Linked DNA regions of Canis lupus familiaris. The protein of the gene in region 5 binds, or shares a complex with, the protein of the main gene of each other region. Links are inferred from orthologs where the notes say so. Each region holds a gene or a part of one and is shown on either strand. Other genes may lie near its edges.

Region 1 (3,943 bases), on a different chromosome or scaffold from region 5:
TGTCCTAGCCCGTGTGGGGTGCCATGGAGGGAGGAGACAAGACCCAGACCTCTGGCAGGTTTAATACGGGGAGACAAAATACACACTTGAAGATGACTGGAGCATACTTACAAAGCAGCAGGTCAGAGCGATACAGTGCAGACCTAGATGGTTAGAGTTCAAAGTCCCTGGTCCTCCCTCTTAGTTCCCTTGACTCATAATCTTCCTGAGTCTTCTTTGACCTCATTTGGTATTCCCTTGTATTCCCTTCCATCTCTTCCCATGGTCTTCTTTCCAGTATCAACAGCTGGCCCAGGGTCTAGATGTTGTTTCAAAGCCTGTAGCAAGATGGCTTTAGGACTCGGCTTTAGCCTGATCGTCCCCAGCTACCACTGTGTCACAAGGACTGATTTTGTATTAGCTACATTGCTCCTGAAACCATGGTCTGAGGGTGCTTCTATGCCAAACCATTTCTTCCTTTGTCATGGAGCTGTGCTCCTTTGGGAAGAAAACTTCAGTCAGGAAGGGATACCAAGCTGCTGAGAGAGATTTCTACAGCTCCCGTAGTGGATCCATCTGAGGATTTCTGACTCTGGGACAGGAACCTCACGTTCCCCCTGTCCCAGCCTGCTCAATGCCTGTGTCACCCAGAGTGCCTCCAAAGGTCCTGGACACCCCTATTCTGTGGTAAAGTCAGAACTCGGAGCTCCCTCTGCTTGACTCACACCCCTGTCCCCGCTCGTCCCCTCTGTTGTCTCTTTGCCTCTGCGCCCCAGCAGGGAGGCGCTCTGATGCCTCAGGATCTGCAGCCCCCTTCCAAAGGCTCTACGCACAGCTGCCGAAGAGAAATAGAAAAGCAGGGGGTCCAGACTGGCATTGAGGGAACTGAATACCACGGCTTCAGCCCTCCACAGGGGGCTCTTCTTCGTGAAAAAGCCCACCAAGTGGGATACATTGTAAGGCCCGAAGCACACCAGGAAATTAAGGAGCGTCACGACAGCCAGCCCTACAGCTCTGCGCCGCCTCTGAGCCCCCACGTGGGGCTGGGTGAGCATGATCCACACAAAGCGCCAGTAGCAGAAGATGGTGATCACCATGGGGACAAAGAACAGGAAGAGGCACAGCTCCAGCCTCACAGGAAGCACCACATCCAGCTGAGCTTGGGTGAAGTTCTCATAGCAGGTGATGCCATTCTCACTTGTGACATCATTATGGGTTGAGTTCCAGTACTGGCCGATGATCACGATGGTACAGTGACCGAAGGACATGACCCAGGCGATCACGGCCGCAATCACTCCGTACACCGGCTTGCGGGACAGCTTGTACTGCACGGGGAAGGCCACTCCCAGGTAGCGCTCGATGCTGATGCCCGCCAGGAGCCACGTGCTGCAGTAGATGCTGCTGTAGAAGCCGAACCCCGTGAGGGCGCAGAGTAACTCGGGCAGGTACCATTGGAAGTCGTACGCGGCCTCGACCATCTTGAAGGGCAGCAGCAGCAGCAGCAGGAGGTCCGCCAGCGTCAGGCTGAGCAGCAGGATGTGCACGGGGGCCGGGTGGGGCTGGCGGACCCGTCCTATGAAGGCCCGCAGGGCCAGGAGGTTGGCGGGGAGGCCAGTGAGGAAGATGATGATGTAGGCCGTGAGGATGAGGGGGCTGCGCCAGTTTGTCATGATGGCTCTGGAAGAGGTTGACAAAGGGCAGGGTCAGGAGGTGCCCCTGGCAGCCTGCGGACCCCCCTCCGCTTCAGGACGTGGACATCCCCCGTGCTGCTGTCCCCTCCCCGGCCAGAGCCCTGTGCCGCCTCCGCCGCTTGCTCGCACACCTGCCAGAACTGCCCAGAGCAATTATTGACTTTGCCTGGGGCGGGATAGTAAGCGGGAGTTATTACGTTTGCCATCATGTGTCTCCGGGGGGGACCAACCCATGGCTTTCTCCTTCTCTCCCCACAGATACAGGAAGTTGCCGTTATCAGCTTCCAACTTTCCTTGAGTTCTTTACCCGGTCGGAGATCCGTGGGGAGAAAGGGCGAGCCTCTCCCGAGGAGAGGGCTGTGAGCGCTCAGGGGCTCGAGGCTGGGAAAGCCCAGGCCATGGGACCCAGGGCCAGCTCCTCACAGGACCCCGCCACACGCCCAGGGAACGGAGGCCTGGCCCCCCAACCCATCTCCCTACCTCGTCCTCCTGTCCTTTTGCAGAACACAGATTCTCCTCCACCTTTTCCTCCCCTGACCAATACCCAACTCTGGGACTATTACTGAAAAGAGGAAGCTAATGAAGTGTAGGGAGGGGCATTGGGGAGGAAGGGTGAGCCTGTGCTATCTTTTGGGGCTTGTCCTCTAAAAGACTTTAGAGCAGATTCAAGAAAACCCACAGGCAGCAACTGGCTCCAGAGCCCGGTGTTTTGAGTATAAACAGAAGAACTGTAAACGGGGTCATTCAGTTTCCACTTGGCTTGTGACCCCGCTGCCCTAACACAGCCCACCCCCTCCGTCCTCTCTCCGGGCTTGAGGTCCCCCATCTCTTTCCTGGATCCCAGCTACACTGGCTGCAGGTATGAGCCTCACATCCAGTTTCTCACAGACTTCGGGCAGCCCCGCCGGCACCTCCCCCTCCAGTCCAGATCCCAGCATCACTTCCCAGAGCACAAGCACAGAGCCAGCTGCCTTGCCTTGTCTGCAGTCCAGAGAGATGGCTTCTTGGGATTAGTCCTGAAGGAAAGTCGGAAAGCTTCTGGGGAAGAGGAACGGGCCTTCAGCCACTGCTACTGCCCATTTCACACAGGAAAGAATTGTAAGGAACCTGCTGGTAGAAAGCTTTTATACTAGCACAGGTCATGTGACCAGAGAGAGGAAGGTCAGTAATTGAACACTGTCTCCTCTCAAACCTGAAGGATGATGGGGCGCCCGCCGGCATCTTCCTTCTCCCCCCAGAGATCCTCACTCGACTTCCAAACCAGATTCTCCGTCCCTAGGTCCTGGATTATTTTTTCATTCCCAAGCATTTTTCCCATTTCTCAAGTTAGATGATCTCATCTTCTCTTTTCTAGGCAATTTCTTTTGTGATTCTTCTCATTTTCAGGAAAGAAGTTTCCTGTTTCCTTTGATTCTTCAATTTTTTTCTTTATATGGGGTCTCCTGCCTTCTGCCCCCAACAGGTCTCTTTTGCCCTCTTGATTGGGACAGTTTGGTTTCACCCAGCCCGAGTCTTGTTCTGGTGGAAATAGCATGGGATTTAGAGTCATGCAGATGTGGGCTCAGACTCAGGTCCCTTCACTGTAACCTTGGGGCAGATGAATATTCTGAATTTTAGCTTCCTTTTTGGGTTAAGTGAGGATGGGAATACTTACATCCCAGGATTTGGGTGAGGTGTGGATGAGACAGCATGTATGGAGCATCTGGGCCAGCGGTGAGCACTTGGTGGGTGCCCATGAGTGGAAGTCTGCTGGAGCTTTGGTGAGAGCGAGCCACTTGGTAAAACAGCCAGAGGCTGAGGGCACCTACATGCTGTCTGACTTGGGGGACTATCAGGGATTCAGGAGGCCCCGCGTACCTGTGTGGCTCTTTATAGGGGAGTTGTGCTCAGGCTCCTGTGTCTTTCCCCCATAGATCCCCTCTCCCTGTGGGCTGGGTCTCACCTCTGAGCCACCCTTGTTCCTCCCTCATTAGAAGCTCCTCAATTCCTGTCCAAATACACACATCTGAAGAAACAGAGTCGGAACACGGTTTCCTCTCAACCTAGGGAATGGGTCTGTGTTTACCATCAGTGGCCTGACCCCTGCTTCCAGAATTCTTCCCCCCGGGACTTCTACTCATCCCGTGTTGTTTGTTCATTCAGGCAGGCATTTCATTAGTCAGTTTGGTTTTGTAGTCTAGAACTCCAGGGTCCAGGGATCCTAAATAGTAGCTTTTCTTTCTCTTCAGCTCTACCCTCCACTAGAAGCAAGGAGTTCGATCTTGGCATTTGTC
Region 2 (4,232 bases), on a different chromosome or scaffold from region 5:
ACGCTAGCTGCATGTTTTCCCTCCGCACTGCAGCTCTTTCTAGAGCCTCATTTTTATCATCTTTGTGTCTGCCTCTCTAGGAGAAATTCAGTAATTGCTTATTCAATTAAAATTTTCTTTTCTCTCAACTTTGTAAGACATCCATAATAGTTCTCCATGAGATTTTTTAAGTAATAACACAATAGGGATTTGGGGAAGGGGTAACATGATACGTAAAAACCAGAAACCAAATAGTATGATGCTGAGTTAACAAGGCCAGAGCAAACTTTGAGACTTTAAACCAAGAGCTTATGTCTCACTTTTATTATATCACACTTCATTTTTTAAAATAAATCACATTCCTCAAGTATGTATGCCTACAGGCACCAAAAAACACTAAAGGAAGACATGCCACACATTAAGCACGAGCATTAAAATCTTGACCTCGGGATGACTGAGTGGCTCAGTGGTTAAGCATATGCCTTTGGCTCAGGGCATGATCCCGGAGTTCTGGGATCGAGTCCCACATCGGGCTCCCTGCATGGAGCCTGCTTCTCCCTCTGCCTGTGTCTCTGCCTGTGTGTGTGTGTGTGTGTGTGTGTGTGTGTGTGTGTGTGTGTCTCATGATAAATAAAATCTTAAAAAAATACTTTATAAAATCTTGACCTCAAACTACATTTTAAGTCTTGTTATTTGCTGAACACTTGGAGCTTCCCAGTGAAAATGATACAGTGTACTCTGCCCAGATTGCAACTTTCCTTACTAAGCATTTGAAATAAGATTCTTGGCCCTAAAAAATCACTAACTTCAGACTGAATGTCATTATGCATCAAAAAGACCGAGCGAGTGAGAGATCCAGCGAGTGAGATTTTTACTTTGAATCTTCCAGTCCGTCAAACAGGACAGATTCAGTATAGCCTTGACAGATCTATGGTATAATTAAAAAGAAAAAGAAATTTCTGTTTGGTAAATATTAGCTTCAAACAAAAATAGACGTTTCCAAACATCAGTTGTTGAAAGGGCTGCCCTTCCCACCTCGGTATTTTTCCTCCTCATTCACAGGGATACTGAGCTCCTCTGAGCGCCCACAGCACTGGGCAGCTGGGGAGCCCAAGAGACACCCATGCATCAGGTCCCACCACAGGGATCCCCCTCACTCCACATGGATTTTAAGGCTCAGCAGGCTCACTCACTGTGATGGAATAGTGGAAGATGAAAGGGTGGGGGTTGTATTGATGCCCCTGTGGAGGAGGAAAGAAAAAAGAGGAAAATCAACCCCCAGATGGAGGCCTTCCCCCCTCCAAGCGTCTCCCGCTGCAAGTTCTCTTCTACCTCTGACCCTCTTGCCCTCTCACCTCCCTTCTGGGATAACCCGCTCACAGGTGACTCTCCCTACTGCTCCAGCACGGGACAACCCCACGCCAGGTTCTAATGACTCGGGGGAGCTGGGAAGAACAGAACAGCCAAGATCATCAAATCCGTCCATTTTCCAGATGAGTGCCCCGAGACGAAGGACAAGCTGCTGAGCTGATGGGCTAAGGTGGCACCGCTAGGGGACGCGGCGCGCGTGGGCTGGGATGATGCCAACCCCTCTTCCCGCCTGCGCCTCCCCCCTTCTCTTGTTTCTTTGCTTCTTTAGCCTCAAAGTAAACGGCGGGTAAAATCCAGCCTTAACACACTTAAAATGCTAATCATCACTCTCAAGTTTGCACTGGAGGCAAATTTGCTCACTCCTACCGGATTCGGAGAACCAAGGGCAGAAACAAGTGGATGCGAGTGTGTGTGTGTGTGTGTGTGTGTGTGTGTGTGTAGGCGCGAAAGCAGTTCACTCGGGTCCAGACAGCCCTAACTCCAGTTACACCCCTTTCCCTCCTCGGGGCTTAGGCTTCCGTATGACCAGGGGATCGCTCCCTAGGGGAACCGAGCAGCTTTCCCAGCGCTGTCCCCCTTTAACCAGAATCGCAGGCTTTGCATCACGGACCACTCGCCTCCCAGTTGTGCTCACGCTGGACAAACCACACTTATGCAAATAGGTGAAAGACACGGACTGTTAGAGCCTGAAGGAATAGAGGATTCTACCCCATAACTGCAGTTACCTGCTTCCCATATTCGGGTTTGCACACAACGCGCCCATCCCAGCGGGAAACGGTGCAACTTTAACAAGCGAGCGCTCGCTGAAGACCCACGTTTATGAAAACTCCACAGATTTCAACAAACGAGAAAAGAAAGAGAAGCAGGGACACAGAGCAAGAATCTCAGGCCCCAAAGTGAAGGCAGCAACAAGTCCTGGATGCCGTCATCCCTTACGCATCAAAGGCCCAAATGGCAGCAAAGAAAAAAAAAAAAAAAAAGAATAAAATTTAAATCCATTCACAACAAACTAGTCCGACACAAACCAAACGAGCCTGTCGGTTTCAAAACCACCAAGTCCAAGCCAGGTCCCTCCCTTGCCTTCAGTGTCCCAGTTACTTGCTAAGCGTGTTTGCTGGGCGGCTGCACCGACACCAAGTTTAAAGTCCGCAGCCCGGGAGCGCGAGGAGTCGTCGGGGAGACGCGGGGTGCACCCCGGCGCTCCCGTGCCCCGGACCCGGCTTCGGGGTCACCTCGAGCCCCCCACCCCTGCAAGCCCTTCTCGCGCTCCCACCCAGACCCAGGTAACCCGAGGCCACCTACGTGTCACTTGGGCGGGTCCGGGCCGCGGACGCGGCACAAAGCGCGGGCCCCGGGGCGCACCGACCTGGCCGGGGAGGGGGACGGAAGGGCCGGCGGCCCGGGCGGCTGCGGCAACTTCCCTCCCGGGGCGCGGGCGACTGGCTGGTGGCGGAGGCCGGGAGAGCCTCGCCTCCTGCAGGCCGGCTCGCGGCGCGCACGCCCACCCACAGCCGACACCGGCGAGCGCGCGCGCGCGCACACTTGCACCCGCTCGCACACTCGCACGCGCAGCCACAAAGCCTGTCTGCCCCGGGACGGCGCGAGCCGAGCGCGCCGAGCGGCTGCGCAGGCGACGCGGCGGCCCCTGGCCCCGCGCCCAGGGGGCGCCGTCCCCCGCCCCCCGCGCCCCGCGCCCGCCCCGCCCCGCGCCCGCCCCTTTACCTGCGCCCGCCGCTGCCCCCCCGCCCCCCGGGCTGGCCTCCCGCCGCGCGGTCTCTCCCCGCGGCCGGCGCCCGGCCCTCCGCCCGCCCCCTCGACGGCCGCCCCCTGCGCCCCCACCCCCGCCCCCGGGAAGCCGGAGCCGCGCTCCGCCGCCGACGCGGGAGACGCAGCCCGGGCAGCGCCGGCCGCCGCTCGGGCCGCCAGTCCGCGCTTTGGCGCGCTGGCCGGGGCGGCGGGGTGGCCCGGAGCCGGCGCGGCCGCCAGCCTCCGTCCTCCCCCCTCCTTCTCGGCCCGCACCGCTGCTCCCTCCCCCTGGCTCGTTCCGTCGCGGGGTGCGACGCCCCCCGGAGCCCCCCGCAGCCCGCGCGCGCCCCCCGCGGCGGGAGACCCGCGGGCTCGGATGCTCAGCCCCCCGCCCCCCCCGCGCTCACCTAGCGCCCGCCGGCTCGCCGCGCTGGGTGGGCTCCCCCAGACGGTGCCTTTTCCTTCTGTCGCTCTGCTCTTCCCACTCGGAGAGCTCGGGGAAGCATCGCGGGCCCGCACCCCCTGCAGGAGGGCCTCTCCCGCAGTCAGCGGCCAAGCTCGGCGCGGACCCCGGCTTCCCCCCGCACGGCCCGAGCTGGAGGTGCTCGCGCGTCCGCGTCTGCAGCCCGAAGCCGGCGTGCCGCGCGCCCCCAGCTCCCCAGGCGCAGGGCTGCAGCCGCTCTTCCGCTTTCCCAGGGCAACTCTGCAAGTGCCAACTCTCGGCGTCCGGAGGGTAATCAAGGGCGGGGAATGCACACCTGGAGGTGTGGGCGGGCGCGGCGCCGCGGGACCCCGGGAAGGTGGCCGCCGCCGAGGTTCGCGCGGGCCCTGCACGGCCGCCGGTCGGTCGGGGGCTTTCCGGCCGCGCCACCTCTCCCCCACCTCCCGCTTCCCACCCCCGGCTTCCCAGGATTTCCGGACTCGGGGCACTTCTCTGCCGCTCGCTGCGCTGCCAAAGCCGCCACGCATCCCAGGCAGCTGCCGGGCAGGAGGGGAAGCTGGGCGAGCCCTTGCCGGGGGCACCCGGGAGGCCCGGGGAGCGGTGCGGCAGGGGGACCCGCGACCCGGGCGGGGGGGACCGCCCCGGGGTTGGGGGCGGGGGGCACGCGGCGATCCTGGGCTGCTCGGAAGGGAGA
Region 3 (3,316 bases), on a different chromosome or scaffold from region 5:
TTAGGAGGAAGAGCACCGGAGGTGGGGCTCAAGGATTGCCACAGGAGCCATGCTCATCTATCCTAGCAGGGTGTAGTGACACTTCCGATGGTCACTCCAGGGGCAAGCTGCATGTTCTTGCTCAGTCAGCTTATAGTCAGTGCACAGAGAGGCAGCTGTGGCCACAGAAGAATTTTTGTCCATATGGAGCCTACTGGCTGGGAAGGACAGCCAGTGCACTAAGCTGACGTCAGCCTAAGATCTGTCAGTCCTGACCTCAATAGCACCAAGCTGTTGGCCTTTCAGAATAGCCTGAGGAGGAAGTGGGAGACGAATGAGATAAGGACCAAGCAAACAGGTCAAGGCCAGGGCCTATGGATATTACTTTATTTTTTTAAGTAATCTCTATGCCCAACATGGGACTTAAACTCTTGGCCCCCCAATGAAGGGTCGCATGCTCTACTGCCTGAGCCAGGCAGGTGCCCCTCCCAAGGGCCTGTGGAAAAGAAGCACACCGAGAGTTTATACAAAAACCTTTTATTTACTGTTTGTATTTCTTCTCCCCAATCTGGAACCCAGCTAGCTCCTAAGGCTTCCTGCTGCCTGGTTCTTGAAATTGGGGCCTGGGGGAGATAGTTAGGGGTTATGAGAGGTGGGGATCTCCTCACCCACCAGTTGCAGAAGTTGAAGGAAGCTTTCCTGCCTGGCTGAAGCTCCAGCAGCCTCCCAGGGCAGCCCCTCAAGTCAGAGGATCCATTCCCCCACAGGAAGGATGAGAGGAAGAGAGAACACGTGTCTCTCAGGGGCCCAAACGCTCCCTATCACTTGCTGCTTCTACACCAGGCCAGGCTCCATAGCTGAACCAATCTCTCACCTGGAGATGGAGCCCAGCACCAAGGGGAGGGGTAGGGGTGGGATGGAACATGCCTCTGTTTTGGGTTCTACTCAACAAACAGGAAACAGGAAGAGGTTGGCCTGGAGTGGGAAAGGGGAAAGAGGGCACAGGAGCACACAGGAGGGGTTACTGGCCTGGGGTCGGGCCAACTGGACACCTGTGGAGAGAGGTTAGAGCCCCTATGGGAACTGGCACTTCCAGCTCCACAACCACTGGGAAGAGAGAGAAGGGAGCCCTGTACCCATCTAGACAAAGGGCTAATGACACAATAAACACATTTGGTCTGAAAGTGCCAGGAAAGGGCAGCCAGTGCTATCTGCCAGGCCTGGGCCTGGCTGCCTCATTGGCTACCACAGCTCACTCTGGGTACTGTCACCCTTGCCTCCACCATCACTGCCCCCGCTCAAGCTCTGCATAGCCCGTGACTCTGCTGCAGGTGGATACTGCCAGCCAGACTCCAGCTGGCGGGGCAGAAACAAGGACCCCGAGCTCCAGGGCCCTTCCCTGGATGAGGCCTACCCGTGGAGATGTCAGGTCCTTTCCCACAGTCCCGCTGCCATGAGCCAGACAGAGAGAGCTCTCCTGGGAGGGCACTGCACACTCAGGTTCTCCGGAAGACAGGGGAAGCACTCTCAGGGAGGATGAAGAACCTCAGAATGGTATTTGCTCCTCTTTCCTATCCCAGGTCCCGTTGTCCAGGCTCAGAAGTCTGAATCTGCATCCATGAGCTCTGCCTCCATCAGGTTGGTGCGGGAGTGAATGGGCCCCAGCCCCTGCCGGCAGCCCTGAGTCCAGGCCGTGGGAACTGGGGCGCTGGGCAGAAATGGATCCTGCAGGGGACTGGGCTCTGGGCAGAAAGGGTTGGAGACCAGGGTCCAAGCTCTCTGTCGGCAGGATTCCCCAGCTCCCCAGGCACCTGCGGCAACCAAGCACTTCTGCCGCGGCAGCTGAGGCAGTCGAGGAACAGCGCTGGCTGCAGGGGCAGGGGCAGGGTGGTGAAGTTCAGGGGGTGGTGCCAGTGGGCACACCTCCTTCTTCCTCTTCCTCCGCTTCTTCTTCCGGCCCAGACGCTTCTCCAGTTCTGGGGAGATCTCTGCCTCAACCAGCCACAGGTTGGCTTTTTCCTCTGGGGGCACTGATGGCAGGAGAGAGAACTTGAGTTTGGGATGCTGGCTCTGTCCACGCCACCCGTTCTCTCCTCGCACCCCTACTTTTGAGCTCTGGGACACAACTGTAGGTCTCTAGTGCTTCAGCCCCACACTCTAGACCCCCCAAGGCCTTTCCTTCCTCCTCCTGTCCCAAGAACCCCCAGCCTCCATGCCCCCCACCTTTCTACAGAAGCCTGACCCCCTTGTACCTGGAGTTGCCACAGGGGTGACAGACACATCCTGAGGCAGTATGGCTCCTCTCCGAGCCACCATCTTGGTGACATGTTGGGCCCAGGCAGAAGACACATCAGCAGAGGGCTCGTTGAGGTCAAAGGCCAAACCCGCTGTGGGGATGAAAAGAAAGGCTAAGGAATCATGACTGCCCAATTCTTGGATGACGGCTCCTCCCTCACTTAGCACATCTACCTTCCCCAGCAGCTCCCTCACCGTCCCCTGAGCCCAGAAGGCCCACCCAGGGTAATCATAGTGAGCTACCCAGTCCTGGTCTGAAGAGTAGGGCCTTGCTAGAGGTCTGAAAGCCAGTTCCTGGAACTGGAGAGGACAGAAGGAGGGAGAGGGAGATGAGTCCTTTTGAGACCAAAGTATCAGCAAGCAGACCCAGGGACAGAAACAATGCAGAGGAGCCAGGGATGGAAGGGGTCTGGAGAGAGTTGAGTGTGTGAGGAGAGGCCGGGGGCGAGGGTGGGGGTTATTCCTCCCAGCCTTCCAGACAGTCCACGTGTCCACACCAGCCTAGTGAGATGGGGCCCAGGTACTGTGGGTGCTGAGTGGCTCCCGTGGAGGAAAGGGGCCTGAAGCTCACCCACAGGCCCATCGTGGGAGACAGTGTGCATGCTAAAGGACAGTTCCTGGCCTGGGTTCTGCAGCAGCTCACGCCGCTTGGAGAAGGCCTTGGCGATCATTTTGCTCTTCTTGATGCGTTTGGGCTCATCATCACTCTGCCCAGTCAACCTGAGAGCAGAAGAGGTGGGGGAGGGGAGTGAAGGAGCAGCCACTTCCATCCAATCTTGTGAAAGACCAGTGACGACGCCATTCCCTCCACGACTTTGAGGAGTAGAGACCTCTGCAAAGAAGTGGGCCTAGAATTTGGGGCTCCTGTATGCTCAGTACTCAAATCACTCAAATCAGTCTACTCTTCTAAGAGACGCTGGCAGCAGCTGGCTCAGCACTTGATTGGTCCTCCCAAGGGCAGGAGGTGTCACCAGGGGGCAGTGGTGAGCCACAGAGGAGGCAGCTTTAGGCATCTCAGCGCAGACTCTTAGAAAACTAGCCT
Region 4 (4,057 bases), on a different chromosome or scaffold from region 5:
TCTATAAGGAGGAAACAGAGGCATAGAAGAGAGAAATAGTGCCCAGAGTCACATAGTACTGGGAGAGCCAGGGTTCAAACCTGGAGTTCTGACTCAAGAGGCCTGGCTACTAAGCTTCTCATGGCTGTTTAACCTCAGGGGTGTGTGTGTGTGTGTGTTTGTGTGATGGAAGCGGGATCTTTTCCTTACACAATCTCTAAAAATCAACCCCCACTATATGACAGAGGCATTTTCTTAGTATCACACAAAAAGCTACTTATAGGAAGCTCCTAGTCCCTTTTCCAATGTGTGGCATCACGGAGCCCCTGTTCAGAGGGAATTCTGGGCTCCCACCTCCAGACTCCCTACCCAGCCCCCAGTTGGATAGCCCCTACATACCTGGATGGAGACATCGCTGTAGGAGCCGCCAATGACACCAGTGATGGCAGTGGGAGCATCACCGTGGGTGGCATACGAGCCATCGGGGCAGATGTGGCGTGAGCCATCGGCACCACGGCTAAGCGAGGCACGCACGAAGTCGAGTGCCTGCTCCAGGGCATGTGTGTCCTTGGAGCAGCTGTCGAGAATATGCGCGCCCAGGCGCACGCCTGGCAGCAGGTGTGGGTCACGGTTGATGCGGTCCAGTGCAAAAAGCATGGCCTCCAGGCGCTGGATGCCACGATGCTCATTGACAGGCCCACACTCCTCTGCTGGGCCACCCTTCTGGTGTACTGGAAACAGCCCACCCAGGACCAGGTCCCCCTCCAGGGTCAGCACCTTCTTGGCAGGGCCCTCAGCCACAGCACCCCATAGCAGCAGCAGTGCCAGGAGCCCAAGCAGTGATCCCATAGTCCCAAAGGGGATGGATGGGTCCAGCAGACCTGGGCCTCCGGGGGATGAGGATAGAAGCAGCAAAGGCAAAGAAAGGAGGAAGCAGGAACCAGGAAAGGACAGGCAGGAAGAGAATTTAGAAGGGACCCAGCTCCTGCAGAGAAAGAGACAGACAGACAAACAGGGAGAAGTGGAACCCAAGAGTGGCCAACCCTTCTAACTCTGCCTTCCCCAATTCCCTTCCCTAGGGACTTTTCTAGGGAGTCAGGGAGAGACAATATCACAAACTAGGCTGAAAAGCTCCTGGGACACCCTTTGGCCTGTTTCTCAACCTTGCCCTGATCTGGGTCTGTAGATGGGCTCCATGCCCATTCCATACTCAGCAGAGAAGGAGGGAGGCAGAGAGTAGAGGCCCAGACAAGTCAGAAGACCTGAGCCAACACTAATCCTGTTGTGAATCAAAGAGTGTCCAAGACCTTGTACAAAGCTTCTAGGACCCCAAAGTCAATACTGCAGCAGTGGCCAGGTTAGAGTATAAACTTGGGGCTCTAGTCCCTATGCTGAGACTTGTGTTTCCAGAGATGGGCCATTGTGGCTGAAACCCACCAGGAAAGAGGGAAGGAAAAAGGTTTCCAAAGGGTAGTTTCCAACTCCTACAGAGACTGGAGCCCAGGTGAGCACCCAAGGGTCCTAGCCCCTAGTTCTTAAAAATCCATCCCCAGAGCCCCCTGACTGAGGAAGTAATAGAATCTCTAGGCCCTGGGAGTTTGACAGCAAGGTGGAGAGGCTGGCCCCAGGGAGGGTCACTGAAGTGGCCTTAAGTGGTCTTAAGTCAACAGGGAAAGTAGATGTGAGCATATGTGTGTCCAGAGTCAGGGGCAATTCATCTGGTCAGAATCTCAAAACACTGCTCAAGATGAGACTTTTGGACACCTTAGCTCTGCATTAGAATGCTGTTCGAGACTTTATGCCTCTGTTTTTTCTTCAGCTCAGATCCAAGTAGAGACAGTCATCATCTCTCATCTCCCTATCGTCATCCTCTCCCCATCCTGTCCACCTTGTCCCTGGCCCTCAGAGACCCCTCCTTCCCTCTTCCACTCTGCAGTTCATTGTTTGTACCCCAGCTACCCTCCTGGATGCCCACCCCACACAGGCTCTCACAATCACGCAGGCTTGGGAAGGCTGGGAGAGGGAAACTGAGGCTGAAGAAGGCCAGCCACTAGTTCAAGGACCCCAGGTCCTGACCACAGAAACTGGTATTCTTCACTTTGTCCCTCAGCTCCCCAGGGTTAATCTCTCCCTGGTGCCAGGGCAGGGAGACTGGGATCCTGTGGGTACCCAGAAAGAAGCAGTTCAACCAGGCAACCAGGAGAGAGAGAGGCAAGCATGAAGACCAGGACAGATAGGGAAGGGACCCAGATGGGGGCTGAGGCCCAAACTAGTCAAGACCACAAGCCTCTCACAGGGGCAGCCAGGACCAAAATCCAGACAGGGACAATACCCTGGAGGGAGACAGAACCCCAGAGGTAGACAGCCAGGGGGCCTGTGCCACGAAATCCGGGCAGGGAGTGATTGAGCCCGAGAGGCTAACACAAAGACAGAGGCACAGACAGACAGACCAGAGGATAGAAGGAGAGGAGGAATGAAGGAGCGTGATGCAGGGCGTGCGTTCTCTGGGGAAGAAAGGCGGGATGCCTGGGGCTGTCTTCCCGCTTCCTGGAGCTCCTGGCAAGCACTGTCTGGGCGCCCTGGCCCGTCCCGGCCCGGGCGCCCCAGAACTCGAGGGCCCACGGGTCTCCAGGACATGGGGTCAGGATCGATAAGGTTGGCGGTGGCCGCGGCACCACGGGCTTACCCTACCTGGCGCGCCCGACTCCGGCGCGGAGAGAAACGGAGAGGAGCCGGGGGCGCAGGGTTCCAGCTCTCGCTCAGTGGCTTGCTCCCTCGCTCAGCAGCTCTGCGCTCTCCGCCCGCCAGCTCGCCCGGCCGCTTTCAATCGCGGCCCGCCCCGCCCCTGGCCCCGGCCCGCCCCCAGCCCCTCCTCCGTTCCTCCCCACTCCGGATCTCCCGCTCCCAACCCGGCCTCCGCCTCCCTCCAGACTCCAGCACAGCTCCTTGCCCGGCGCCTCCGGCTTCTGTTCTTCGCGGGGCTTCTGTCCCGGAGCTGTCCACCGCGTGGTGCTGAATCCTCGGGCGCTCCTGCTCTGCGCAGGAGCAGGTGTCTATCAGGCCCCCTCCACCCCGTGGTCACACTGCAGCCCACAGAGCAGCGGGTACGGGACACAGGGACGGGAAGGTCACTGAGTCCAAAGAGGTATACACAGTGTCATGGGTCCCATCTTTGAGAGCGGAGGGGCTAGCCTTAGGGTTGCAAAGTGCCATTGGGAGATATGTAGAAGGACACCTGGGAGATAGGTAGAGAGCTTAGCCTGCTGCAACAAGTCTGTCCCTGTCCTCACATCCATTCTCTCCAACCACAGACTGCAGCTCAGTCCACAAGCCAGGCTTGGGGTAGGGGCATATGCCTTTGGCCCGATGTGAGAGCTGGGGCTTGAGTCACTAGGAGGAAGACATGGGGGAGGGGTCAGAGGAGGATGGGGTTTCCTCTTCCTGCAGATGACCTTTAAAGCTGCTACCCACCACCACCCCCATACCTAGCCCTGACCTCCTGCCCCACCAACCTCCACTAATCCCCACACTCATGTACAAAGGGTATTTATGGCAAAAAGATATCAACCTGGGGTGCGTGGGGGGGTGCTGCAGGGCCAGGGACTAGGGTCAACCCTAAGGAACATGCTGGGGCTGGCAGGGGCATCTTGGGGAGGAAGGGAATAGGGAAGAGGCTCCTGAAACTGGCTGCTGTGTAGGAGGGAATGGGAGCTGGAGCCCAATCAGAGGGAGGACAGCTCTGAGAAGATGCTCTTGACTCTTCTTCCCTCCTGCAGCAGAATGGAGGACGCCCCTGGGTAGAAGGTGGTGGAAAAACTGCAGCAACCAATTGTGCTGAGGGTTTGGGGAGGGGGCCTGCACTCAAGTTTAGCCTCAGAGCCTGCATGCACACCAGGTGCTAAGGCAAAGAACATCCCTACATATGCTCCCCTGGTGCTGCCCTTCCTTCCACAGGTGTCAGTAGAGGCAAAGCTAGCTTAGACACATGCTAATGAGCACATGCCAAGCCCAGGTCCCTCTGGCACATACATCTACATGTGCGTGTGGCAGTTAGGGGGCAGGAGTGTCACCAAGGAAG
Region 5 (4,109 bases):
CGGCTCACCCAGGTGCCAGAGGGTCACCAGGTGCCAGAAATCCGGAGCCAAAATCTGCGCAGGGGTGGGTTCGGGCGGGGGCAGGCCCGGCTGGGGAGGCGCTGGGGGTTCGAGGCTCCGGCCTTTCAAACTGCAGGCTGAACAGCCAAGTTACCAGAAAATCCACGCAGATGGTTGGTGCTTGGAAACAACTGTGGGAATGGACAGGAGAGGGGAGGGGGGGACGGGGAAGGGAGGGGGAGGTACCTTCTGCGGGTCCCTGGCCCCCCTCCTCCCCCGCTCCCTCCCCTGCTCCCCTCCCCCCTCCTCTGCTTCCTGGTTCCCCCCTGCGCGCCTCCCCTGCTCCCTGCTCTCCCTCCTTGCTTCCCACTCCCCCCTCCCCTGCTCTCCCCTCCCCTGCTCCCACTCCCTCCTCCCCCACCCTCCCCTGCTCCTAGCTCCCCCGCTCCCTCCCCTGCTCCCCACTCCCCCCTCCCCTGCTTCCCACTCTCCCCCTGCTCCCGCTCTCCTGCCCCCTACTCCCCGCTCCCTACTCCCCTGCTTCCTCCCCTCCCTCCCTGCTCTCCCCTCCCCTGCTCCCTGCTCCCCCTACTGCCTCCTCTTCCCCTGGTCCCCTGTTCCCCCCCACTTCGCCCTCCCCCGTGCTCCCCCTGCCCCTCCCTCTCCCCGCCACCCCCCTCCCCTGCTCCCCCCCCCCCCGCTGCCCCCACCCCCTGCTCCCCGCTCCCCCATCCCCACTCCTCCCTCACTCCTCGCTGCTCCCCCGCTCCTCCCTGTTCCCCCCCCCCCCGCTTCCCCTCCTCTCTGCTCCTTCTCCCCCCGCCCCCCTCAGCTGCCCCCGTCGCCCACACCCCCCAGGCCGGCAGCCCCTTACCCCGGCCCCGCGCGGCGGCGGCGCAGGCTCCCACGCCCGGCGGCCTTTTCCCGGCTCCCAACTTCGGCGCCGCCCGCGGCCGCCCGGGGGCAGGTCGGCTCCGGCCGGGGGGTTCGGGGTGGGGGGGGGGCGCGCGCCCGAGCGAGGGGCGCTGTCCGGGGCACGTGCGCGGGAGCGCGCCCGGGAGTGGTCGCGGGGGGCGGGGCGGGGCGGGGGCGCGGGGGGCGGGGGGCGGGGCGGGGCGGGGCGGGGCCGCGGCGGCGCGGACGCCGGGCTGGGGCTGGGCTCGGGCTGGGCTCGGGCTGGGCTGGGCTGGGCTGGGCTGGGCTCGGGCGCTGGCGGCGGCGGCGGGCGGCGGGGCTCGCGCGGGGCAGCGGGAGTTGGCGCGGCGCTGCGGGAGCGGGCGGCGGGCGGCGGGCGGCGGGGCGGGGCGGGGGCAGCTCGCTGGGGCGCCGGCCCGGGAGCCGGAGGAGCGGCGGCGGCGGCGGCGGCGGCACCATGGGCTGCACGCTGAGCGCCGAGGACAAGGCGGCGGTGGAGCGCAGCAAGATGATCGACCGCAACCTGCGGGAGGACGGCGAGAAGGCGGCGCGCGAGGTCAAGCTGCTGCTGCTCGGTGAGCGCCCCGGGACCTCGGGACCTCGGGATCCCGCGCGGACCCCGCCCGGACCCCGGCCCCGACCCCGGACCCGGCCCCGGCCCCGGCCCCGACCCCGACCTGCGCCGCGCGGGCCCGGGGCGCGTCCTGCGGGGCCCGAGCGCCCTCCCCGGGCCGGGCTGCTGCGGGTGCTCGGGGCTGGCGTCCCGGAGACGCGCGCTGCGGAGCTCTGCTCCAGCTTTCGGAAAGAGCCAAAAAACAAAAAAAGAGTAAGCCAGGGTTTTGACGGGAGGATGCATTAGGAAAATGCCCACAGCGTAGGATTTGTGGATCTGACTTGGGGTTTCTTTTGTTCCCTGCCCCCCCCCCCCCCCAGCTCACATGCACCCTATGGCTACTTAGGCAGGTGCAAGGTTTCTCAGAACCTTCATTTGCCCCAGCAGCGACTGCTTCTGCTTTACACCAGCCATAATAAAAGAAATATTACACAAACCTGTTTTCAGTAAGCTCCTGTCTCATTGGTTTAATGACTGCAGGAAAAAATGGTGGTTTTTTTTTTTTTTTTCTCCATTACTAGTAGGCTTAGAAGCAGCAAACTTGGCATGACTAAAAGTAATAATGATCTGAGTCATTTTGCTAGCAAGCTGTGAAATAACTTTGCATCTTAAAGACCTGCTTGGTTTTCTTCACCCTTGTCCCCAGTATAGATCTTTCTCAGTTAGCGCTGTTTACCTAAGTTTTTATGTTAACAAGAAATACCATATTTGGCGGAGGTCAGTGTATTTTCAGTGTACGGAGCATAGAAGAAACACACCTTGACAGGGAAACAGGTAGGTGGTCCGCTTGTGCTGGGAATGTGCCTGAGACATAAAGGAAACAAAAGGAAGATCCCAAAGTTCTTTCCCTGCAGTTTCTGCACTCCTGCTCTGATACGTCCTTTCCGTGGATTTCCCTGTGACCCCAGTTTTGAGCCAGCCATCCACCATGTTTAGAGCCATTGGAAAAGGAGTCCTCTGCTGTCGTTTGATGCTTTCATTAGATGTCTGTTGGAAAGGGATGGGCTGGGATAAAAGTCAGAGGAGTTGGTGTTTGCTTCTGTTTGGAAGAGGTCGGTGTTTCTCAAACGTTAGCTCTATGGGCGTCTTAGGCTGGGTGGTTCTTTGTTGGGCAGGCTGTCTTGTAGGTTGTGGGATGTGTAGCATCCGTGGTGTTCTCTGGCATCTGCCCACGGGATTCCAGTAGCAGCGCCCGCCCTCAACCTTTGATCCTTGAAAATGTCTCCAGATAGTCGGGAGAGTCCCCTGGGGGTAAAGATTAACCTCTGATGAGCAGCGCCTGCATGGACAGGAATAGCTCAATGGGTGAGGTGGAAGTAAAAGTTGCACCTCTACAACCAGCTATAGTGAGAGTGAGGAGGAGGGTGTAGAAGAGTCATGATTTTCAGAAGACATTATGAGATTTTTGTTTTTCTGTACCAGCAATGTTAGATTTCAGAATGATTTTTAAAATTTTTTTAGGTAACTGGATTCCATCAGCTATGTTTTCTCTAGTGTTTTGCTTTTCCCCTTGCATCTCCTCTCTCTGTAGAAATCCTTTGCACCCCTGTCTTGTTGGCCCAGCTCTCCTCCTTACTCCTTATTTTAGTCCTACTCTACCCTTTTGCCCAGGGTCCCAGCACTCTAGTTCCTATAAACAAAATGCTGGCTTATTTCGTAAATGTTATTCTTGGAATGTTTCAAAACATTTTTTTTTTCCCTAATTTGTCTTTAGCAGTGAAGTTTTGACCTTCGGTTCTTTTTTAGATGTTTAAAGTCAAATGTGTAAGTAGCTCGATGAAATCGTCCCATATAAAACACAACTGAATCAAATAGAAATAGAAAATGGTTTTCTAGGTGGTCTATAACCATTGTCACTTCCATTTATATCAGGTCATCTTCCTCTTAATTATTTTAGTTTTTTTCATTACATGAATTCCATTTAAGGCAAAAAGCATCCAAAGTATATTTAAGATAGTAAATAGTTCATTATATTGCATTTTTAAAAAAGATTTCATTTTTTTTTTTCATGAGAGACACAGAGAGGCAGGGGCAGAGGCAGAGGGAGAAGCAGGCTCCTCCCTGCAGGGAGCCCGATGTGGGACTCATCCCAGGACCCCGGGATCACGCCCTGAGCCAAAGGTCCTGAGCCCAGGACCCTGGGATCACGCTGTAACCGCTGATCCTCTCAGGCGTCCCTGCATTTTTTTTTTTTTTCTTGAGGCATATATGTATCGTCTTTTAGACATCTGGGTTGAGAGATTCAGGTATGAGATGCACATTATTAGTAAAAAAAAAAAAATGGTACTGTCTATTATAATTAATTTTTTTTAAATCATATATTTTACTATCCATGTTAGGAGCAGTGAATTAGGCCTTCAAAAAGAGGGACTTAGTTTAATCATTGACCTAAAGGAAATTAGGTCAGGGTTTGAGTGGTTCAAGTCTTTAGGTTTAGTTTTCAGGCATTGGTATGGGAATGATAATCCTAAATAGAAAAACTTATTTTTATAATGACCGTTTCTTTCCATTAGAGATGGCCAATTGCCTGAGGGGAATACATTTCTTATAGTCATACCTTTGAGGATGTTATGGTCTCTCA
Region 6 (4,147 bases), on a different chromosome or scaffold from region 5:
TCTGTAGACCTGTGTTGTTCTAAGTATGATCTGCAGAGCACCTGCCTCAGAATAGGGGAGGGGAGGAGGGCCTGGTTTCTGTATCTTTGTGTCCCTTCCAAAACCAAAAATCATGGGAGGCCAAAGGATGTGCCTCTCAGCCATTGAGAAGGACCCCAATAAGAGCACCCAGTGGCAACCCCACCCCCTTGCCCATCACACAGGCAGGCACCCCCAACACAGGATTGACCCAGCTTGAGACTTCTGTTTTATGTTTTATTTTATTTTTTAAAAAACATTTTATTTATTTTTTCCTGAGAGAGAGAGACAGAGGCAGAGACCCAGGCAGAGGGAGAAGCAGGCTCCATGCAGGGACTCAATCCAGGGACTCCAGGATCACGCCCTGAGCCGAAGGCAGACGCCAAATCGTTGAGCCACCCAGGGATCCCCGTTATTATTATTATTATTTTTTAATAAAGGTTTTATTTATTTACTCATGAGAGACACAGGCAGAGGGAGAAGCAGGCTCCCTGCGGGGGGCCTGGTGTGGGCTCCGTCCCAGGACAACCGGGATCACGAGCTAAGCCCTGAGCCAAAGGCAGCCGCTCAACCACCCGACCACCGACCGGAGCCACCCAGGTACCCTCAGACTCGTTTTAATTGCAGAGCTGCTCCGGGCCCTCACTCGCCCTCACCTGCCCCGCCCCTCCCCCCGCTGGCGTCCCCCTCCTCCTCAGGGTACAGAACCAGGTCAGGCCAACGTGGGGGGCGCTCTGCCACGAGAAGAGCCAGAAGAGCCGTTGTCCTTCCCCCACCAGCAGCAGCAGCAGCACCAGCAGCACCTCCCAGGCCTAGTTCAGTTCGCTCATTGGAGAGGGTTGGTGGAGTCTGCCAGGGTCTCGGAGGTGCCAGGCTCGGGAGGGGCGGCGGGGCCCCTCACCGTCTGGGCCAGGGTGCCCCCGCGGCGGGTGCTGGACGCCTCGGAGCCGGTGCCCTCCAACAGCTTGGCGACGAAGCCCACGCCCGCGGAGCGCAGCAGGCCGCCGCCCGCGCACGCGTACAGCACGGGGTTCACGCTGCTGCTCAGGAAGGCCAGCGCGATGAACACGGAGCGGGCCAGGCGCAGCCACACGCCCGCTGGCCCCGAGCCCTGGCCCGCCAGCGCCCGGCCCGCCTCGGCCAGGTTCACCACGTGGTAGGGCAGCCAGAAGGCGGCGAAGGCCAGGATGATGAGCGCCACCAGGCGGCCGGTGCGGCGGCTGCGGCGGAAGCGGCGGGCCTGCAGCCTGCGCCTGATGTCCCAGTAGCTGGCCACCACCACCAGGAAGGGCAGCAGGAAGCCGGTGAGGGCCTCGAAGAGCAGATGGAAAGCCCTGAGTCGGTCGCTGGAGTACTTGGTGAAGCACACCAGGCTCTGGTTGGTCGGTGCCAGCACCGTGCGGTACATGATGACGGGGATGGCCAGCAGAAAGGACATCACCCAGATGCTTGCCAGCACCCACCAGACAACGGACTTGGTACGAAACTTCTGGGACACAAAAGGGAGGGCCACCGCCAACGAGCGGTCCAGACTCATGGCGGCAATCAGCAGGACGCTGGCGTACATGCTGACGCCGCAGACATAGTGAAACAGACGGCAGCCAGCCAGTCCAAACACCCAGGTGCCCCGGCCCACAGAGTGCAGGAAGAAGGGGGCAGTGAGCAATACAGCCAAGTCGGCCACAGCCAGGTTCAGCACCAACAAGGCAGTGACAGAGCGCTTCCGCATCTTTACCAGGATGCTCCACACCACAAAGCTGTTGCCGGGAAGCCCCACAGCCAGCGCCACTGACAGTAGGATGATAGTCAACGGAATGACGAACATGACACCTAGTGAGGAGGTGCTGCTCACGATGTGGTGTCCGTGGCCACTGCAAGGACCTGGAGAGTGAGGGCGAACACGAGCATGAGGGTTGGGGACCAAGGTTTCCTGAGACCCTGGACACACCCAGCTTGAGTACTCTAGCCTGTCTCCAAGATCAGCAGTGTCAGTTGCCCCTCTGCAACCTCCTGCCTTCATCGCTGCCAACAGACCCATCCTCGGGGGATCTGGCTGAGCAGAAAGACTAATTTTCTAACTGGGCCATGGGGCTTCTTCCTACACACAGACCCCACTGCAAAATAGAGAGCAGTAGCAGCAGTAGTATTTCCATAACCTTTCTGCCTCCTTCCCTTCTGAGACCCAGAACAAAATGGGGGAGAGGGGCCTTTCTTACCAGGGCTGCACCCCTCAAAAGGCTAGCTTCTCTATCACTTGCCAGGCCCTTAGCCTGCTCAGTCCCATTGACTTCTTCAATCATATACCCACTTTCTCCAGAGATGCCCAGAGCCCACCAGGAATAATAGGGATGGCGAGCAGTTTGTGGATAGGAGACAAGAAGAAATCCTCCCCAGTCCTTTTCCCACTGGTCAGGCTTTCTTTGGAAATTCCTCTGCACCTTCTCTCACCATTGTATCCTGCTCTACCACTACCTCCCCAACTCCCAGGATACTTACTTACAGGCTTTGCTGGGTAGTGGTTGGAAACTGGTGCCAATCCCAAGGTCAGGGCAGAGTGGCGTAGCCTATTCCCAGATCTGCCCCAGTTCCAGGGTCCCAGCCCCAGGTCTGGGTGCTGTCCGCTAAGTCTGCCAGAGAGGAAGTACCGAGAAGCCGAGGAGGGGGAAGATACATCTTCCTGAGGGTGGGGCTGAAACTCCTAGCCCTCCCTTCACTTGGGGGGGGGGGGAATAGTCTTTGTGTTCCAGAAGAGCCTAGCAGGGAGGAAGACTCCTTCGGGGTGGGACCAGATGAGAAGAGCCTAGGAGGGTGTAGTGAGAGGAAAGAGAGGGTGAGGGGAGTGAATAGGCTCGGGTGTGGCCTTAAATGCAGGTCTAGACTGGAGAATTGGAAAGAGTAATAAACTGTGTCATACAGGAGAAGGAGGGAAGGAAGCCAGAGACAGGAAATGGACTCAGATTGGGAGGCCAGAAGGTTGGGTATCTTTATATGTTGTATAAATATTGTAGATTTTTAGATTAACAGGAAGTGTAGGTTAGACGTGTGGCTTAGTTATGGGTTTGGGTTTAGGTAACATCAGGACTTAAAGAGGACAGCACCCTGTCTTTGGCTTGGGTTCAAACCATGAGTGACTTTGGAGAGGGAGGGCTCTCTTCCAGCACTCCCACCTATTCCCTCATTTAAAAGGGTTGCTTCAATTCTAAGTCACTCAACTCTCCCTTCCCTTTGGCAGAAGCCAAAGTCCAAAGGATCTCCTTAGTATGGTACAGAATGTCAATTTCTTCCTCCTTCCCTGGCCACTTGCCCTGTGCTTGCCCATGTGGCCACTGCCACATGGATTTGAATTTAATATCTGAGCACTGAGCAAAGAGGTCAGCACGACCTCTTTCCTACCTTCCTGTAGTTGGCTGTCCAGTCCCACTGGACAGAGAAAGTAGAGGCTGAGCATAGAGAGAGGAAGTGGGGGCAGTGATGCCCCACATCTGCCCTGCCAGGAGGGGAAACCAGGAATGTGCAAAGGCAAACAGCCCCCCAAAAGGCCACTCTTCTCCTTGCCTGGAGGGAGGGCAGTTTCCCCCTTTGACCTCTCCTGCAGAAGCTAAGATCTGACAAGTCTTTCCTTTGGTCTGCCTGTGAGCCATCCTGCTTCCCTGCCAACTCTCACTTGTGAAGAGAGATGTGGCATAGAAGGATGGTCATTGAGGTCCCTTACCCTTATGCCCACTTTCTCTGCTTCGAGAAAGGCCACCACAGAGTTGACCCAGAGGCAGAGGATGTGATGCAAAGAAATGTGCCGAAACTGCAGCAAGAAGGCAGAGTTGAGGAAGGGCTCTCTGACCACAGAAGTTGTGTGAGACAGGGGCTACGGAAGAGAGGAAGTTAGGGAGCCTCTGCCCCGGCACATGAGAACAGGAAAAAGCCCCTGCCATCGGTGTCTGAGGATGAAAGTTCTGGCTTGCTGCTTCAGGGTCAATCAGAGGCTCCTTCTGATGAAAGCTGTGTTGTCTTTGCCTCCTCTAACAAACTACTCCCCATCCCCATGTCTCTCAATGGCCTTTCTTCCTCCATCTTCAGACTAGATACTCTAATCTAGGTACTAGATCCAGAACTCTAGACCGCCGCAGTTTGG
Region 7 (3,982 bases), about 23 Mb from region 5:
GAAACGGGACTGGAGGGGCCAAATATGAAAAACATAATAGCCCTTGTTCATTGAGTGTTAACTATGAGTCGGGAATCCCTCTGAGCTTTTTATGTAGATTATCTGGGTTAATCCTTACAGGAGCCTGAGAAGGCAGGTACTGTTAGCATCCCCATCTCACTGATTACGGATCTTCTGACAGATGAGGATAATGTTAATTAACTTGCCCAAAGCCATCCAGTGTGTAAGCGGGGCTGGGCGGGGGGGGGGGGGGGGGGATTAGAATCCAGGAGTCCCCTTCTCAACCTCAACCTGTCTCAGGCTGATTTCCTGCCTCTGCCGTCCACTGCTCCAAACGGAAGGACTAAGGGTCCCCCCACCCCCGCCGGCTCCCCCACTTAGCTTTCTCAGAAGAGAAGAGACCTCTCATCTCCATCTTGGGGCATCTTGTCTCCAAGGAGGCGGCAGGTGGTTTAGTCCTGCTCTGGATCCGCTTGGGGAAGCTGCCAGCCGCAGAAAGGGCGAGGCCTGGTGTTTCCCAGCCTACCCCCCCCCCCCCCCGCCATCCTTCTGGACCCCTTGGGTTTCCCGCAGACATTCTGACAGCAACCCTCTCTGGGGCGTTTCTCTGCCATCCAGGCCCGCCCGAGATCTGGGGAGGCAAGCAGCCGCTGCCCAGGGCTGTGCACACCGCTAGATGGCGATGTCGAGCCCCGGGTGCCAGCTCCGGACAGCAGCTCTCCGCCACCGCCCCCAACTCCAACGCGACCGAAAGCGCAGAGGCTCCAGGGCAGGGCCGCCCCGGGGAAGGACGTGGATCCCCCCCCCCTTCTTGCCAGCCCCTGCCCGGGGGCTGCCCTAGGCTCCGCGCGGGTTCGCCGGTGGCAAAGTTAGGGGCGCGCGGCTTCCACTCGGCCCCGCGGAGGGACGTGTGGGCGGGAAGGCGAGTGCGAGTTCTGTTTGTGTGTGATCACCGGGGAGCGCGAGTACAAGCGAGTAGCTGTCTGCATGTGCGTGTGTGCGCGCTCGGCCACGCCTGGATACCGGTGTGCCCGTGTGCGCGTGAGCAGGCCCGTGCCATGTGGACACGTGCTTGTGCATGCGTGTGCGGGCCGGGGGGATGCGCACGAGTCCGGTTAAGCGCGCACCTGTGAGTTGGGGCGCAGGAGCCAATGCAAGGCCCACGATCGGCGACCTGCCCGGGTGTGGACGGCCCTGCCGGGAGGCTCGGCTCAGACTTTCGCAGAGAAGATCGAGTCTAGAGCCAGTGTCTGGATTGTGCCCCGCTCGTGGGAGGGGAAGGGTCGTGGCCAGACTACAACCCGAGCTGCAAGGGGCCCCCTGACCTTGGGGCATCGTATTAGCCAGCGCCCAGTTGGTGTCTGCGCCCCAACGCGGCGATGTGGCGACCCAGCCTGAGCCTGACTTCTGTCGAAGGGCCGCTGCTTGAGTCGCCCCGCTGGCCTTACAGGACACCGGGCCCAGGGCCCAGCTCGGTGTGCCCGCGGAGCGTTCTGGCCAAAGGGTGCCCAGTCTGCCGGGGGTGCGGGTGGGGGTGGGGGTGGGGCGGGATTGTACCGCAGCACCCCCAAACCGCGGAGGCCCAGCCAGGGCTTAGGTCAGTTGAGTGTTGAGTGTGAGATTCTTGCCCTCCCACACTTCTAACCCTGCACCCCGCCAGAGAGGCACCGTCTGGACCCAGCGGCTAGGGTGGGCTCCCGGTTTCTCAAGCCCTGGACCTGGGCGGACCTCGAGGGCCGGGTTGGGGGTTATTTCGGGCTCATCTGCAGGCTCCTCCAGGCCCCCGGCCCGGTGGATGGGGCCCTGGCTCCCCGGTGCCCCGCCCTCCCCCCAACCCCCTAGCACGCAGTTCCTGCAGCCTCTGGGCGTGGGCACCGTGCTTTCCCGGGTTCTGGAGCCCCCCCTTTTCCGGACGAGAAGGAGCGCGTGCTCTGGACGCCGTGGGGAGGGGGTTGGGGTGTGGGTTCTTAGGCATTCACTCCAGGGCTCCGGGAGGGCTGTGGCCCCGGATCCGTCCCTGGGGCGGGGAGAAGAGACTCCGGAGTTCACAGGAGGGAGAAGGGGCTCGGGGGATCTGGCATGGACACTGCACCTGACACTTCCGCCACTGGGCTCGGGGCTGGGCTCCGGCTCTCCCGGGCTCGCAGCCTGGGCAACAGCAGGGGGTGGTCCTGGAGTGGGGGAGGGGCGCCAGGCCGGTAGGGGCTTTCCGTCGGGGTTCAAGGTCGCGGATGGAGGACTTCAGGTACCGGGGTGGGCCGGCGGCGCCGGGGGCGGGGGGCGGGGAGACGGGCGGGAAAAAGGCTCCTGAGGCTCCAGCGCCTGGCGCCCTCCTGAGCTGCCGGTGGGAAGGCTGGAACGCGGGGTCCCGCCCCCGACGGCTGCCGGGGCGCCCTGAGGGCTGTGGGCCAGCACCCCTCCCCCGACCTCCCGAACGTCCATTCCTTCCCAGGGGCGCACCTGGAGCCGCTTCCGAGACTCCGGGTCTTCCCTCCCGCGGGGCCCCTCACCCCCGGGCCCTGTGCAGCTCCCAGCACCGCGCTCGCGCCCAGAGGAGCCTGGGGCCCCGTCCCGGGGGGACCCGCCTCCGGGGAGCCTCGGAGGGTCCGGGAGCCCCGGGTCCTTCTCCCGCAACCGAGTCCCGCCGCCCCCGCGCCGCCGCGGAGTCACTTACCAGACACCTCCGCCCCGGTCCCCTCGCACCTGACAGACGGCGGGACCAGCGGGCGGCCCGCGGGCCGGGGGCGGGGACCGGGTGCCGAGGGGCGGCCCCTGCTCCGCCCGCAGCTCCCGGCGCTGTGGCTTCGACTCGCGCTCACGCTCGCACTTTTCCCCGAGCCGCGTGATGTCACGGGGAGGCAGCCAATCCTGGTGGGGCCGCGCCGCCCGCCCCGGGCCGGCCACCCAACTGCGACGCGCGGGGGGCACCACCCGGGGCGTCGGGGACCCCGACTACGGCGCCCCCCCGGGAGCCGGCCGGCAGCTCCGCGCTCGGCCACGGCGGGGGCACCGCCCACGGTGGGCAGTGCGGCTTAGCGGGGGGCGCTGCCCTCCCGGGAGGCTGGGCTGGGGGTGGGGTGGGGTGTCCGCGTTGTCATGGGGACGCGGCGCCCCCTCGCGGGCTGGGGAGGGAGCTGGCAGTCCCGTCTGGCTGCGCTCTCCGCCTCCGCTCTGACCGAGCACCAGGACCTGGAGGTGGCGTCGCGCCTCGCCCGGGCCGCACTCTCCGCAGGGTCCCGCTCACACGGGGACCTCGGAGGCGCGAACGCTTGACCCCAACGAGAGGTCACGGGCGGGTGGGATGGGCTCGGCCGCTGCGGTCCCGTCGGGGCAGGGAGCCGAGCGCTGGCAGTTTGCAGCCCCAGGGCCGCCAGCGTCCGGCCGCCGGGCTGCGGGAGAAGAGGGGCGCCGTCGGGGCCGGGGAAGGAGCTGGAGAGAGGAGGCAGGCAACAGTCCGCCGGCGAGAGAGGAGCCCGCCCATCGCACACAACCCTGGCCCGGCCCCCCACCCCCGCCGCCCGGCTCCCCGCTCCCCGCTCCCGCCCTCCAGGCGGGGAGAGGGTGCGCGTCCTCCCTCCAGCCGCGGTGGGACGCGCCGCCCATCCAGCCGCGGCCTAGAGGGCGAGTTCGCCGATGCCTTGAGGGGAAGCCGAGTGCCCAAGGTCACCCGGGGCGGAGCCGGGAACGGGACCTCAGGGCGAGCAGCCGGTCTCTTGAGGTGTCCGGGAACCGCACGGGTCGGGGCCTGGGGACTTGGGGCCTTGCCTGTGCGGAGCGGGAGGGCCCGGGAGTCCGCGGCGGGGGCGCCCGCGGGGCCGAGGCGGTGGCTTCAGCACCTCGGAGAGCTCCGCCTCGTCCCTGACCTTGCCCGCTCGCTCCGCACCACCAGGCACCCGCGATTCGGCCTCCATCCGAGACGGCCCTTCCAGGGGTCCGCCAGGGGCCTGAGGCGGCCTGTCACCCCAAACTCTTTGAGCGCAAG

The links.
Region 1: the proteins of GNAI1 (region 5) and FFAR2 are in contact, whole or in part, in a cryo-EM structure (PDB 9NS9), measured with the Homo sapiens proteins. The link is inferred for Canis lupus familiaris from reciprocal best matches to the Homo sapiens genes GNAI1 and FFAR2. Residues at the interface, in NP_002060.4 of Homo sapiens: Glu28, Ala31, Arg32, Glu33, Val34, Asp193, Leu194, Phe336, Thr340, Asp341, Ile343, Ile344, Lys345, Asn347, Leu348, Asp350, Cys351, Gly352, Leu353, Phe354; in NP_001357016.1 of Homo sapiens: Gln40, Ala42, Val44, His45, Glu106, Arg107, Gly110, Val111, Pro114, Val115, Tyr117, Lys118, Leu119, Ser120, Arg121, Arg122, Phe202, Met206, Gln209, Pro210, Leu211, Val212, Arg216, Arg219, Ala220, Leu223, Ala224, Phe273, Ser276, Ser277.
Region 2: the proteins of GNAI1 (region 5) and LPAR1 are in contact, whole or in part, in a cryo-EM structure (PDB 7YU7), measured with the Homo sapiens proteins. The link is inferred for Canis lupus familiaris from reciprocal best matches to the Homo sapiens genes GNAI1 and LPAR1. Residues at the interface, in NP_002060.4 of Homo sapiens: Ala31, Arg32, Leu194, Gly217, Val218, Thr219, Tyr320, Gln333, Phe334, Phe336, Asp337, Ala338, Thr340, Asp341, Val342, Ile343, Ile344, Lys345, Asn346, Asn347, Leu348, Asp350, Cys351, Gly352, Leu353, Phe354; in NP_001338326.1 of Homo sapiens: Ile84, Tyr85, Arg146, Thr149, Val150, Arg152, Met153, Gln154, Leu155, His156, Tyr225, Tyr231, Val232, Arg235, Thr236, Arg238, Met239, Thr252, Ser255, Leu256, Thr259, Arg314, Asp315.
Region 3: the proteins of GNAI1 (region 5) and SMO are in contact, whole or in part, in a cryo-EM structure (PDB 6XBM), measured with the Homo sapiens proteins. The link is inferred for Canis lupus familiaris from reciprocal best matches to the Homo sapiens genes GNAI1 and SMO. Residues at the interface, in NP_002060.4 of Homo sapiens: Glu28, Arg32, Glu33, Lys192, Leu194, Gln333, Phe336, Asp337, Thr340, Asp341, Ile343, Ile344, Asn347, Leu348, Lys349, Asp350, Cys351, Gly352, Leu353, Phe354; in NP_005622.1 of Homo sapiens: Arg261, Pro263, Ala264, Trp339, Ser342, Phe343, Ala345, Leu346, Gly347, Thr348, Thr349, Tyr350, Ser354, His433, Pro434, Gly435, Ser438, Lys440, Ala441, Lys444, Ile445, Glu447, Thr448, Arg451, Trp535.
Region 4: the proteins of GNAI1 (region 5) and GRM2 are in contact, whole or in part, in a cryo-EM structure (PDB 8JD5), measured with the Homo sapiens proteins. The link is inferred for Canis lupus familiaris from reciprocal best matches to the Homo sapiens genes GNAI1 and GRM2. Residues at the interface, in NP_002060.4 of Homo sapiens: Glu28, Ala31, Arg32, Glu33, Val34, Asp193, Leu194, Thr219, Asp337, Asp341, Ile343, Ile344, Lys345, Asn346, Asn347, Leu348, Asp350, Cys351, Gly352, Leu353, Phe354; in NP_000830.2 of Homo sapiens: Lys599, Ala600, Ser601, Gly602, Arg603, Arg656, Ile657, Ile660, Phe661, Ala664, Arg665, Glu666, Gly667, Ala668, Gln669, Arg670, Pro671, Ile674, Pro676, Phe756, Val826, His828, Arg829, Ala830, Pro831, Thr832.
Region 6: the proteins of GNAI1 (region 5) and LTB4R are in contact, whole or in part, in a cryo-EM structure (PDB 7VKT), measured with the Homo sapiens proteins. The link is inferred for Canis lupus familiaris from reciprocal best matches to the Homo sapiens genes GNAI1 and LTB4R. Residues at the interface, in NP_002060.4 of Homo sapiens: Glu28, Ala31, Arg32, Leu194, Glu318, Tyr320, Thr340, Asp341, Ile343, Ile344, Lys345, Asn347, Leu348, Asp350, Cys351, Gly352, Leu353, Phe354; in NP_001137391.1 of Homo sapiens: Thr53, Asp114, Arg115, Ala118, Val119, Pro122, Phe123, Ser125, Gln126, Lys127, Arg129, Thr130, Leu208, Arg211, Arg212, Phe213, Arg215, Arg217, Arg218, Thr219, Gly289, Gly290, Gly291.
Region 7: the proteins of GNAI1 (region 5) and CHRM4 are in contact, whole or in part, in a cryo-EM structure (PDB 7TRK), measured with the Homo sapiens proteins. The link is inferred for Canis lupus familiaris from reciprocal best matches to the Homo sapiens genes GNAI1 and CHRM4. Residues at the interface, in NP_002060.4 of Homo sapiens: Arg32, Leu194, Glu318, Tyr320, Phe336, Asp337, Ala338, Thr340, Asp341, Ile343, Ile344, Lys345, Asn347, Leu348, Lys349, Asp350, Cys351, Gly352, Leu353, Phe354; in NP_000732.2 of Homo sapiens: Asn67, Arg130, Cys133, Val134, Pro137, Leu138, Pro141, Ala142, Ile218, Ala221, Ser222, Ser224, Val226, Arg394, Lys397, Val398, Thr401, Ile402, Cys456, Asn457.

Annotation. Positions count from the first base shown.
Region 1 is NC_049222.1:118,041,426-118,045,368, forward strand, and holds the start of FFAR2 (free fatty acid receptor 2), read right to left. Parts: upstream 2,801-3,943; 5' UTR 2,647-2,800; intron 2,640-2,646; exon of another isoform or gene 2,151-2,639; intron 1,657-2,150; 5' UTR 1,650-1,656; coding exon 657-1,649; 3' UTR 1-656. UniProt on the Homo sapiens protein: G protein-coupled receptor that is activated by a major product of dietary fiber digestion, the short chain fatty acids (SCFAs), and that plays a role in the regulation of whole-body energy homeostasis and in intestinal immunity.
Region 2 is NC_049232.1:66,180,563-66,184,794, forward strand, and holds the start of LPAR1 (lysophosphatidic acid receptor 1), read right to left. Parts: upstream 2,801-4,232; 5' UTR 2,653-2,800; intron 1-2,652.
Region 3 is NC_049235.1:7,376,321-7,379,636, forward strand, and holds the end of SMO (smoothened homolog), read right to left. Parts: intron 2,995-3,316; coding exon 2,846-2,994; intron 2,367-2,845; coding exon 2,232-2,366; intron 2,010-2,231; coding exon 1,576-2,009; 3' UTR 501-1,575; downstream 1-500. UniProt on the Homo sapiens protein: G protein-coupled receptor which associates with the patched protein (PTCH) to transduce hedgehog protein signaling. Binding of sonic hedgehog (SHH) to its receptor patched prevents inhibition of smoothened (SMO) by patched.
Region 4 is NC_049241.1:38,330,019-38,334,075, forward strand, and holds the start of GRM2 (metabotropic glutamate receptor 2), read right to left. Parts: upstream 2,801-4,057; 5' UTR 2,671-2,800; intron 965-2,670; 5' UTR 829-964; coding exon 379-828; intron 1-378. UniProt on the Homo sapiens protein: Dimeric G protein-coupled receptor which is activated by the excitatory neurotransmitter L-glutamate. Plays critical roles in modulating synaptic transmission and neuronal excitability.
Region 5 is NC_049239.1:20,150,928-20,155,036, forward strand, and holds the start of GNAI1 (guanine nucleotide-binding protein G(i) subunit alpha-1), read left to right. Parts: upstream 1-1,309; 5' UTR 1,310-1,372; coding exon 1,373-1,490; intron 1,491-4,109. UniProt on the Homo sapiens protein: Guanine nucleotide-binding proteins (G proteins) function as transducers downstream of G protein-coupled receptors (GPCRs) in numerous signaling cascades.
Region 6 is NC_049229.1:4,408,788-4,412,934, reverse strand, and holds LTB4R (leukotriene B4 receptor 1), read right to left. Parts: upstream 2,673-4,147; 5' UTR 2,519-2,672; exon of another isoform or gene 2,515-2,518; intron 1,900-2,514; 5' UTR 1,844-1,899; coding exon 845-1,843; 3' UTR 501-844; downstream 1-500. UniProt on the Homo sapiens protein: Receptor for extracellular ATP > UTP and ADP. The activity of this receptor is mediated by G proteins which activate a phosphatidylinositol-calcium second messenger system.
Region 7 is NC_049239.1:43,502,237-43,506,218, reverse strand, and holds the start of CHRM4 (muscarinic acetylcholine receptor M4), read right to left. Parts: upstream 2,801-3,982; 5' UTR 2,675-2,800; intron 1-2,674. UniProt on the Homo sapiens protein: The muscarinic acetylcholine receptor mediates various cellular responses, including inhibition of adenylate cyclase, breakdown of phosphoinositides and modulation of potassium channels through the action of G proteins.